3 linked regions of the Macaca mulatta genome follow. The protein of the gene in region 2 purifies or fractionates together with the protein of the main gene of each other region. This does not show direct contact. Links are inferred from orthologs where the notes say so. Each region holds a gene or a part of one and is shown on either strand. Other genes may lie near its edges. The genes, in order: DLG5, SORBS3 and WASL.

What was found.
Region 1: the proteins of SORBS3 (region 2) and DLG5 purify together in Homo sapiens (co-immunoprecipitation; 3 studies listed by BioGRID and IntAct, with this or other methods). This does not show direct contact. The link is inferred for Macaca mulatta from reciprocal best matches to the Homo sapiens genes SORBS3 and DLG5.
Region 3: the proteins of SORBS3 (region 2) and WASL purify together in Homo sapiens (co-immunoprecipitation; 3 studies listed by BioGRID and IntAct, with this or other methods). This does not show direct contact. The link is inferred for Macaca mulatta from reciprocal best matches to the Homo sapiens genes SORBS3 and WASL.

What each region holds. Positions count from the first base shown.
Region 1 is NC_133414.1:71,851,121-71,854,184, forward strand, and holds the end of DLG5 (disks large homolog 5), read left to right. Parts: intron 1-688; coding exon 689-792; 3' UTR 793-2,439; downstream 2,440-3,064. UniProt on the Homo sapiens protein: Acts as a regulator of the Hippo signaling pathway.
Region 2 is NC_133413.1:24,236,694-24,240,346, forward strand, and holds part of SORBS3 (vinexin), read left to right. Parts: intron 1-376; coding exon 377-688; intron 689-988; coding exon 989-1,092; intron 1,093-1,611; coding exon 1,612-1,718; intron 1,719-3,653. UniProt on the Homo sapiens protein: Vinexin alpha isoform promotes up-regulation of actin stress fiber formation. Vinexin beta isoform plays a role in cell spreading and enhances the activation of JNK/SAPK in response to EGF stimulation by using its third SH3 domain.
Region 3 is NC_133408.1:163,505,941-163,509,593, forward strand, and holds part of WASL (actin nucleation-promoting factor WASL), read right to left. Parts: intron 2,686-3,653; coding exon 2,599-2,685; intron 2,335-2,598; coding exon 2,238-2,334; intron 624-2,237; coding exon 600-623; intron 1-599. UniProt on the Homo sapiens protein: Regulates actin polymerization by stimulating the actin-nucleating activity of the Arp2/3 complex. Involved in various processes, such as mitosis and cytokinesis, via its role in the regulation of actin polymerization.

The sequences.
Region 1 (3,064 bases), on a different chromosome or scaffold from region 2:
CAATTCCTAGAGAGATGAAAATTTTAAAACTCTAAAACTTGGAAAAGGTAAGCTCCATTTTTTTCTTGTTAGATTCAACAGACATAAAATTACGACGTCCCGTTTCCATAGCACTCCGTTAGAAACGTCCCATTTCTAAACACTCACTGTCAGTTTCTGAGCGTGGCTTGTTGCAGTGGGGGCTTGGTTTGTGTCCAGGTGCTGTTCTGTGGAGCACACTGGAGTTCCCCTGGCCTGCTGTCTATAGACCCCAGCGTCAAACTCCTATAGTACAGAGCTGGCCCCAGTTGGAGTCATCATCGTGCTGTGACTCTCCTCTTGGCCATGAGCTGTCTGGCTCCTTAAACTGGTCGTTTCCTGCAGAATCCTGCTAACGATTAGACCACCGCTACATGTCCTCCAAACTTCTTTCTGATGCCCTGGGATTCCCCCAACCATCGCAAACCCAACCCAGGGTATTACTGCAGTGGGGTGGGCAGTTTACATGTGAGTGATCAATTCACGAGGGGCAATTTTCTTTCCCAGTTTCTTGTTGGTGAAGGAGAGTCAGGTGGGGATGGAGCAGAGTGCCAAGTAGCTCAAAGCAGACAGCCACACAGTAGAAAGAGTACAAACTGTACTGCCTTGCCTCAAACCTGGGGTCTTAACTCTGAGCTGAATGACATGTGTCTGGGGGTCTCTTTTGCAGGGGTCATCCAGGGAGGAGCCCTGTCAAGCATTTGCACTCAGATCTTGGCAATGGTCAATCAAGAACAAAATAAAGTCCTGTGGATTCCAGCCTGCCCGCTCTAGGAGAATGCTGTGCTGTGGATGACTGCAGCTGGCCGCCTGAGGGGACGCCAGGCTCAGCTCTTTTCTAGCGACTCAAAGTAGAAGTCTGTCCGTCTATGAACATGCAGGGGAAGGATCCGGAACCAGGACCCAGAAGCACCTCCTTTGTAGACAGAGGGCCACAGCTGCGTGCGGTCCAGGCCCAGGCCCGCACCCTCTGCCCCTGTCACACGTGTTCTTTAACACAAAACAGATAACACTAAAGACGGGTTCAGCACCCACCTTTCTTTAGCCAGCTGATCAGAGATGCTGCAAAGAGAACCTTTTGGATCACTCGTTTACAAACCTTTTCTAAGTATTTGGTGGTTTATGTTTACTTGAACGGCTCCATGTTGCTGGTGCCCAGCCCCTGCCCCCTCTGTCAACCCCTGTCGCTTTGGTGTTGGTTTCGTTCCCGTCTTCAGCAAAACGACCTTGGAACCTCAATGGGGGCTGCTTTGCTTTGGGAGGTTCTTGTTGGTGGGACCAGAGCTTTGACAAAGTTCCTGCTCCTCGGTGGCACCTCTCCTGGAAGGACGTCACAACTGCAGGTGCTCAGACTGCCTGTGGCAGCAGAACCAGTGCCTTTGGCATTTTCCTCCCACACTGGGGAAGGTGACTTTGGTGTTCTTACAAACTCGTCTCTCGGCCTTTCTCTCCTGCCTTCCACAGCCTCTCGTTTCTCCTCCATCTGTGCTTATTACTTGAGCACTGTGTCTGCTCTGTGAGAGCTGCGTGGGCAGGGCCGCGGTGGGGTCCAGGTGGTGTCAGCTGTGCTGATGCCTGCCATTGGGTCCTCCTTAGGCTCTGTAAGTCGTGACAGCCTTCATCAGTGCAATGTTTGCAGGGTAATTCTTAAACCTTTTAGAGGGTGGCAGGTACATCAGTTCCTTTTAATATGAAAACATTCATGTTTCAGACATTGAATTGAGAGCTTTTAGGGGAAGCATAATGGTTATTGTCACTATCAACAGTCTAAAAAGAAAAACTAAGGTCTTTTTAATCTTGGTTACAGCACTCACGGCATGCACCTTACTCAATGTGGGTGTCTTCGTTTGGGCTTTTTTTTTTTTTTTTGCACTTCTGAGGCTGGATATGTCTGGCTGAAGATTTGATGTGGTTCCTCCTTAAGCTGTGCGTCCTGTTAATAATAGGTACTGTATTGGGCTCTGTGTAAGTGTCATTGGGGTAGGACCTATATTTTAATACTGTTCCTAACATTTCATTTTACTAGCGAGAAATCTTTGATTTCATTTTATTCTTTGTAATTCTAGACACTAGATTGTAGTTTAGCCATACTGATGTTTTTTAAAAAGGGATATATTTTCTTGCACAGTTGTTCAAAAAAGAGACAAGTTTCAGTCCTCAATGCTGTCCTTTGTTTTACAGGTACAAGTTTTCTAGCTCAGACAAACTATGAAAAACTGTAGACTATTCTCAAGGTATTAACTCGCAGACCCTCTGGGGGTAGGGGCTGTTTTCTAAGTTGCAGGCAGAGTGGGACTGAGATGGTACAGTGTGCACACACAGGTACTGAGCTGACAGACTGGGATTTTCTGTACTAAAATGTTACTTTGTATCAAAAGTTAAACAGGCTTTAGTACAACAAATAAAGGTCAATTTCTGTAAGGTTGTGTTTGAAGATGCGAGTTTTTAATCTCTTCCTAGTCGGTCAGCTTTCCTGTATTTCTAAACTTGAGACAGCTGCTCTTCTCTGCAGCACGTAGCTGGAGTTGGCTGCTGTGTAGTTTCTTTTTGGCTCACATGACAATTCACGTCCCTGCTACCTGCTGCGTCAGCCTCTCTCTCACTTCTTCCTCCCCTTCCCTGCCGCCCATCTGTCCAGTGTGGCATGAGCTGGTGACTGCAGCCAGGCTGCCCATCTGTGTGAGACCCAGAGCCTGCCCTCTGGCCCTCACATTCAATTCTGCAGGCTTGGGAAAAGCAAAAGGGAGTGAGCTGAGTGCTCTGGGCAGCATTCTCAGTCAGGGCCCTGTCTGGGGCCCCCAGCTGGGAACGGCCCCACCTGAATGGGGGCTGCTTTGTGGCACCTGACAGCATCACATTGGGAGATCACCCAGCATTGCTGGACTCCCAGAACAGGCCACGTGGGCCTGAACTCCATGTTGCAGGCTGGGCCTTTAGCTGCAGGAAGCCAGGTCTGAGGCCTGGGGCAGAGCAGAGCCCTCCTTCTCCAATCCTTTTTCTTGGAGGGACTTGGGGGCAGAATGTTCTCCAGAAGCCTCACTCACAC
Region 2 (3,653 bases):
GTCCTGGGGAGTGTGTTTTTGACACACTCATGACAGGGTCCCCCAGCGTGACGCAGGAACAGGACCCAGGCAGGGCAGTAGTGGTAGCACCTGTCCCCTGTGCCTAAGGAGTGGACTGTTGATCTCATTCACACCTCATAGTGACAGTATGGTTATTTTCACTTAACAGAGGAGAAAACAAGGCTCAGAGAGACAGAGCAGCCTGCCTGAGGCCACACAGCTTGACCTGGCGGAGCTGGGTTTGGATCTGCATTATTAGCCACGGGCTCACCTGTGATTGGAGCTCTGGGGAGGGACCTTGCTATGCATCCCAGATAAGGCACCGTGGGTGCATGGCACCAGGAAAGCCCCACAGACACTGACTTTCCCCCCTCAGGGAGAGCACATCTGCCTGATCCGCAAAGTGAATGAGAACTGGTACGAGGGGCGCATCACGGGCACGGGGCGCCAAGGCATATTCCCCGCCAGCTACGTGCAGGTGTCTCGTGAACCCCGGCTCCGGCTCTGTGACGACGGCCCCCAGCTCCCCGCATCTCCCCGCCTGACTGCTGCCGCCCGTTCAGCCCATCACCCCAGCTCCCCCTCAGCCCCGCGCAGCCCAGCTGACCCCACCGACTGGGGAGGGCAGACCTCCCCCCGCCGCACTGGCTTCTCCTTCTCCACCCAGGAGCCTAGACCCCAGACCCAGGTGAGGTAGCCTGCCTCCACCAGAGAGCCCACCTCCTCCCCACCCCCCATCCCCCAGCCCCGTGACTTGTCCACACTTGGGAATCCTTCCCAGACAGCCCTGGGACAGACGAGTGGGGTGACAGGGCAGAAGCTAGTATGGCAGCCCCACCCTGGCCTGGGGAACCTCAGCCTACCGAGCTCTGGCCCAGGGAGCTCTCGATGGAATCCCAAAGCCAGCCCGGGCTCCTGACCCTCGGTGTTCTTGGTTCATCCATCATCTTCCTGCCTCTGACATCCCTTTCTTCCTGTCAATCCTCAGAATCTTGGCACCCCTGGTCCAGCTCTGTCCCACCCTCGAGGTCCCAGCCATCCCCTGGACCTGGGGACCTCTTCTCCTAATGCCTCTCAGATACACTGGACCCCGTGAGTACCATCTGAGGGCTTGATCAGACTGGGGGAGTGGTCACTGGCAGGCAGTACCCCATATTCCACCCTCCCCCAAGTCCCCACCTGTGGATTTGGGAAACTTCTACCAGGTAGCCCTTGTCCTCGAAGAGCTTATGGTGATTTGGTGCAGGGAGGAGGCGCTGGTCTGTGATGTTCCCAGTCCCTCCTGGCAGCTGCGTGGCCTTGTGGCCTTGGTCTCCTCATTGGGTTTCTAGCCCTGAGGTCAGTGCATGTAGAATTGAAGTGTGGAACCGGTAGAATGGACAGGAAGGCACCAGGTGCTCAGAGGAGGCGAGGGTTCAGTGGCTTAGGGCCCAGAGGGCAGAAGGCAGGCCTGGGAAAGACTGCACTGAGCACAGGCAGAGTCGCTCCGAAGAGCTGGGGCAGGGGCTAGTGAGAGCGTGAAGGGACCCTGGGGCGTTCACAGGAAGTGGCAACACTTGGGTTAGAGCCTCTGGGCCCGTTCTCCAGTTGCCGTGATGATGCTTCTCGTAGGTACCGGGCGATGTACCAGTACAGGCCCCAGAACGAAGACGAGCTGGAGCTGCGCGAGGGGGACAGGGTGGATGTCATGCAGCAGTGTGACGATGGCTGGTTTGTGGGTATGTGGGCAGGCCGGGAGGGGGCATCTCAGGGCCCCAGGGGATGTGGGTAGGCTGCTGCTGCCTGCCAGTGCTACTTCAGCAAAGATTCATGGCCGACCACCCCCCACTCAGCTTCCGACCGGGCTACTGGGGAGGGCCTGGCACCCGATGCTTCCCCAAAGCCAGCACTTCTGTTGGCTGCCTTCCTTCATGCCCTGAAGAGGCCGAGGCCCAGGAGGAAACTGGCACCAGTCCAGGGTCACCGATGGAGTCACCGGGGACCCAGGCCAGGGTTCCCGACCTCCAGAGCCCTGCCCCTTCCTCCTGCACACCCCTGCCTCTGGAGCAGCCCTCGGGGAAAGAACCTGGTGGAAAGGACCAGGACTCACACTTGTGTATCCTGCAACCCCTAGCTGGCTCCTCCAGCCTGGGAGGAAAAGGGAGTGGAGCAAGGTCCCAGCCCCTCAGGGCTGGCCCAAGGGCAGCTCTGACCAAGGACAAATGCAGGAAGCCTCAGGTTGGCCTCGGCCTGAATCAAGGTGACCAACCTACCAGGCTTCACATGGCCTCTTTCCCCAGAGTGGGCTGGCCCTGTGGAGGTCTCATCTTCAGAGGATGGGCCGTCCCCACAGAGAAGAGAGTGGCCAGAAGCCCCCTGCCCCTCCCCAAGCAGGTTTTGAGGCCTGAGGAGCTGGGGGGCTGCTTGGGCAGCCCCTTGACCTGGCAGCCCACCCTTCCTGATCTGATCCCAGTACAGCTGCCAGCCAGTCTCCTGACCCACCCAGGACCTTAAGCACTACCCTGTGAATGGCCCCTACCTTCTGATGGGGGAGGGAGGGAGGCGGTGCTTAGAGATGTATTCAAATTTACTCGATACACTTTTGCTTTGCAATTTTTTTTACAACTACTAATAAAGTTTTGCAAATCTATGCAGACAAGAAGAAAAAGTACCACTTTTGTGTTATGAGCCACAAGTGCTTTGAGAGGAATGGGTGAGACCTGTGCCCTCTGGTATGGCAGCCACCAGCTGCATGCAGCTGTTGAAATGTAGCTCAAATGAAATAAACTAAAAATCCAGTTCCTCAGTTGCATGGGCCAGTCTCAAGTGCCCAACAGCCACACGTGGCGAGTGGTGACCCTTTTAGTTAGTGCAGGTCAGGGAAGGCTTCCTGGAGGAAATGAGGGAGCTGGGCCTGGAAGGGCAGGGGAAGGATTTGGGGAGGTCAAGAGGAAAGGGAGGTACTCAGGGCAGAGGATGACGGTGGGGGTGGGACGAGCATGGGCTGCCCCCAAGGAAGTCAGGGTGCCAGCCTGGAAGGGGAGGCTCAGGATCATCCATTCACCCAAGGTCAGGAGTGACGTTCATTTGAGTTTATATTCCTATTTTTCCATATATAGGAATATAATAATACTTACTACATTTCTGTATTTCTATATTTCTCCATTCCTTCTTCCTCCCAGGCTGGAAGAACCAGCTGGGGGGTGTGGGGATACACAGGTGTGAGCTCTGGGCCTTTCCACCAGGAGCTCTCCCCAAGTGCTGCTCCAGAGGCAGGGGTGTGCAGGGGAAAGGGGCAGGGCTCTGAAGGTCCTCAACCCTGGCCTGGGTCCACAGTGACCCATCGGTGACCCTGGGCTGGTGCCGGTTTCCTCCAGGGCGTCACTGTCTTCAGGGCACAAAGGAAGGCAGCCAACAGAAGTGCTGGCTTTGGGGAAGCATCGGGTGCCAGGCCCCCCAGATGCTTTGCCCGCTGGGGTTCCCCCTCCTCCTCTTCAAGACACGAGTTTCTGTGGGGCTGTAGACCAGAGGCCTGGATCTGTGTCCCAAGCTTGCTCCTAAGCATGGGGGTGCTCTCAGGCAATTCATTCAGTCTTCTCTTAGGCCTTCCCACCCATCTCTAAGTGAGGGTGCCGTATTAGACCAGGGGCGTTTCTCCCGATTTCAGTTCTATG
Region 3 (3,653 bases), on a different chromosome or scaffold from region 2:
TTTTACTGCTTTTACTCTCTGGTATTTAATATTTTTTAAAAAATGAATTCATAATACTTCAAGTTGTCATTATCAAATTAAAGAGCATTATATGAAGCTAAATTAGTTCTAAATACACCATAACAGTAGGTGTTCATTCTGAAAGGGGCTTCATGTAACACATAACCAGTGTGAAATAATACTTTGAAATAAGAATGAAAGATAAATGTTAAAGTAGGAAATTAACAAATATGCTAGACAAAATTTACTGCCTCTAGGAAAAATGTTAAGGCTAGATTGTATACTCAGTCAACTGTGAATCCAGAATTAAGATATAAGTATTAGTGATCTCCACACTATGTATTCTTTCTTCATGTCAGAAAAATATCGAAGAATATTGTTTCCTAAGTCTCATCTGTCAGTCATTAATGAAAAAGAACACAATAAACCGTATAATTTGATCATAGGTACTAAATATTACTTATTAATGTATGGTACATGTTTTCACAAGGATTAAGATGCAATAGATACTAAATATTACTAATGTATGGTACACGTTTCCACAAGGATTAAACTGTCATCTAAAATCTTAAACGATTAATAATTGTCAAAAAGCTTACCATTTGGGGGATCTCGTCTTTTCTCTGTTAGAAAATAAATTAGAAGAATATTATTAAATATATGTAAGACAACATCAACATAAAAAAATTAATTCACTAAACTGTCTTATTCCTAAATTGATGTATGTGTGACTAAGGAAGATTTTTCAGAAGACCCGACATTTAAGCAGAGATCTAAATAAAATAAGGAAGGGAACAATATATTCAAAGGCTCCAAGGAGGGTGCAACATGAAAGAACATCATGAAGGCTGAACTGTAGTGAGCAAAAGGCACAGTGAAAGGAAACAAGTCAGAAGGAAAGAACAGGACTAGATCATGTAGGATTCCGTAGGCCATGGTTAAGGACTATAGATTATATGTGTATATGATAGGAAGCTCTTACAGAATTTTAAATAGAGAAAGTGATATAACCTAATCTACAAGTTTACTCTGGCTACTGTATAGAAAAGTGATAGTAAAAAGGATTGAGTAGCAGCAGGGAGACTAGTCAGAGAGCTAGTGTAGCAGTCCAACTGACAGATCATGGCTGCCTGGATTAGAATGGTAGCAGCAGAAATGGTAAGAAATAGTCAGACAGGACAAGTTTTTGAAGGCAGAGCCAATCTGATAGGACTCTGATAGGATTTATGAGGGACCATGGTGAGCCTGAGGGATAAGATGGAACAAATGCCTTTTGCTGAAACAAGGAAGATTAGTAGAAGAACAGGAACAGGTCTGAGTGGGGCTAGGGTTCGGGATACAGGACATGGATCAAATATTCTGCTCAGACGTGTTAAGTCTAAAGGCTATTGTGTCACTTAACTTGAGTAGACAGAGTCTGAAGCTCAGGGAAGATGTGTCAGTACTGAAGACAAAACTTTGAGAGTCATCAGCATACAGTTTTTAGAACCATAGGACTGGATGAAAGCACATGTTCATTCTCCTGAAACTGATCTGCTTAAGATGATTTTGGAAAGGTTCCCCTTTCCTAGTCACCCTTCTCCACTTTACAAGAGAAAGGCCTGGTACACTGTTGTCGAACAATAGTTCTATACCAATTAATTTAAAGCTTTATACTATCCTGCATTGTTCTGTAATTGTTTTATATGTGTTACACAATAAACAGGTTCCTTATGGGTTTTATAGTATATAGTATTAGGAACAAAATAGAGAGACAAGGCAATGTTTATAGATCTTGTTAGCAACTCTGCTTATTTGCTTCTAAGTTTACCTAAAGTCTTTGTTTACAAAGTATAAAATACTTTTAAAACTCAACAAACAATGCTAACACAAATGCAAAATTAAAAGACAATACATATGACATTTTATCAACAAAAAATGTTATTGGAATGGGTCCTTCAGTAAATCTAAAAAAAACAGTTCTCAAGAAAAATATTATTTTAAGGTAAAGACCACCAAATTTTTTTGTAAATAGTAAATATTTTAGGTAATAAATAGTTTAGGCTTTGAGGACCACATAATCACTGTCATCACTATTGAACTGTGTTGTGGCAAAAAAGTAGCCAAACACAACATGTAAACCAATGAATATAGCTAAGTTTCAGTAAACTTTTATTTACAAAAACAGGAAGTGGCCCACACTTGTCCCATGAGCATTAGTTTGCTGGTCCAATTTAAGTAATTAAAAAAAGGGTTACCAGATTTCCTTTGTCGGCGGCCCAACAGGTCTGTAACTGCTTTTCGGAATTTTTTTGCTTCTTCTTCATTGGCAAAATTAAGAGCAACTTGACAAGTCTGAAATATTTTCATCATAAAGCAGAAACAACAGAATCATGCTTTATATAACAGCTTTATATCATAAAAACAATGAGCAAAAGAAGTATATTTCTAAAGAATGAAAGGTTAATTTTACTAGCAGATAAGACATTATTTCACCTTCAGCAAAAAAAAAAAAAAACAGTAAATTGAATTTGATCTTTCAATAAGGCTCTATAAATAATTTGGATTAGAAAAGGCAAGCAATGAAAAAAGATGGTAATAAAGAAAAATATGACTTACATCTCCAGCAAAGGTATGAAAATATCCTCTAGGACTATTATATACAAAGTTATTGTATAGCTCTTGTTCCCACAATAGTTTCCCATCCTAGAAAAAAGTCAAAAATTAAAATAAGAACTACCAAAACATAATCTCTAGGAATAAAACAAAGCAGATGACTCATATTAAGATAACTGTTTATATTAAAAATAACTTTTACACGCACACATGCAACATATTTATAATATATAAATAGTGTCACATAATCTAATCAGTAATTTCTTAAAACTGTAAACACTGGATAACGTGTCTTTCATAAAACCTACATATCAAGTCAGTTTAATTCAGCTAAGATATAATCTCCCTAGCCAACCATTTCCAAATTCAGTTACTTGGTCAAATACATAACCAGAATAATTACTAGGTCATCAATGTTACATAGAAGGAATAGGACACTTTTGTACATGAACTGATTATCAAAGCACAGTTCTACCAGCAATATTTAGACAATGTACTATCAAACACTGCAGGAATACTTTATGATCTTTTCCTCTATTTTATAGATGTGGGAGGGTCAAATATACCTTCCTTGTACTGCTCATTAACCATCTTCAAATTCTTAACTTTTGCAGAGTACCTTTCTAATTACATACTGGTATAAGTAGTATTAATCATGATGCAGAAAGAGACTGATAATTAAAATGTATCAAGGTTAAACTATGGATAAGAGTACCATGATGACTGCCATATCTATTGTCATAGTATAAAAAATAGGTTTAACCTTAATACCAAAGGTGAAGAATCATGAACGTTCAGCAATTGGAAATAAGTGGTTAGAGAAACATAGTCATTGCCCTATTCAGAAATGCAAGGTTCTACCCAGACCACAATTTAAAAATATGTACAATACACTGTTCACCCATGATAACCACTGCAATGGAATTCCTTTCTTCTTAGTGTAGTATGCATAAGCCATTTCTAAACAGTGCTTCTCAACAGTTATGAGAAATATGTCAAAGCACTTGGGGGTTTCTTTCAAATTATGTATGTGTTCCCCACCCTCCAGAATCACTGCC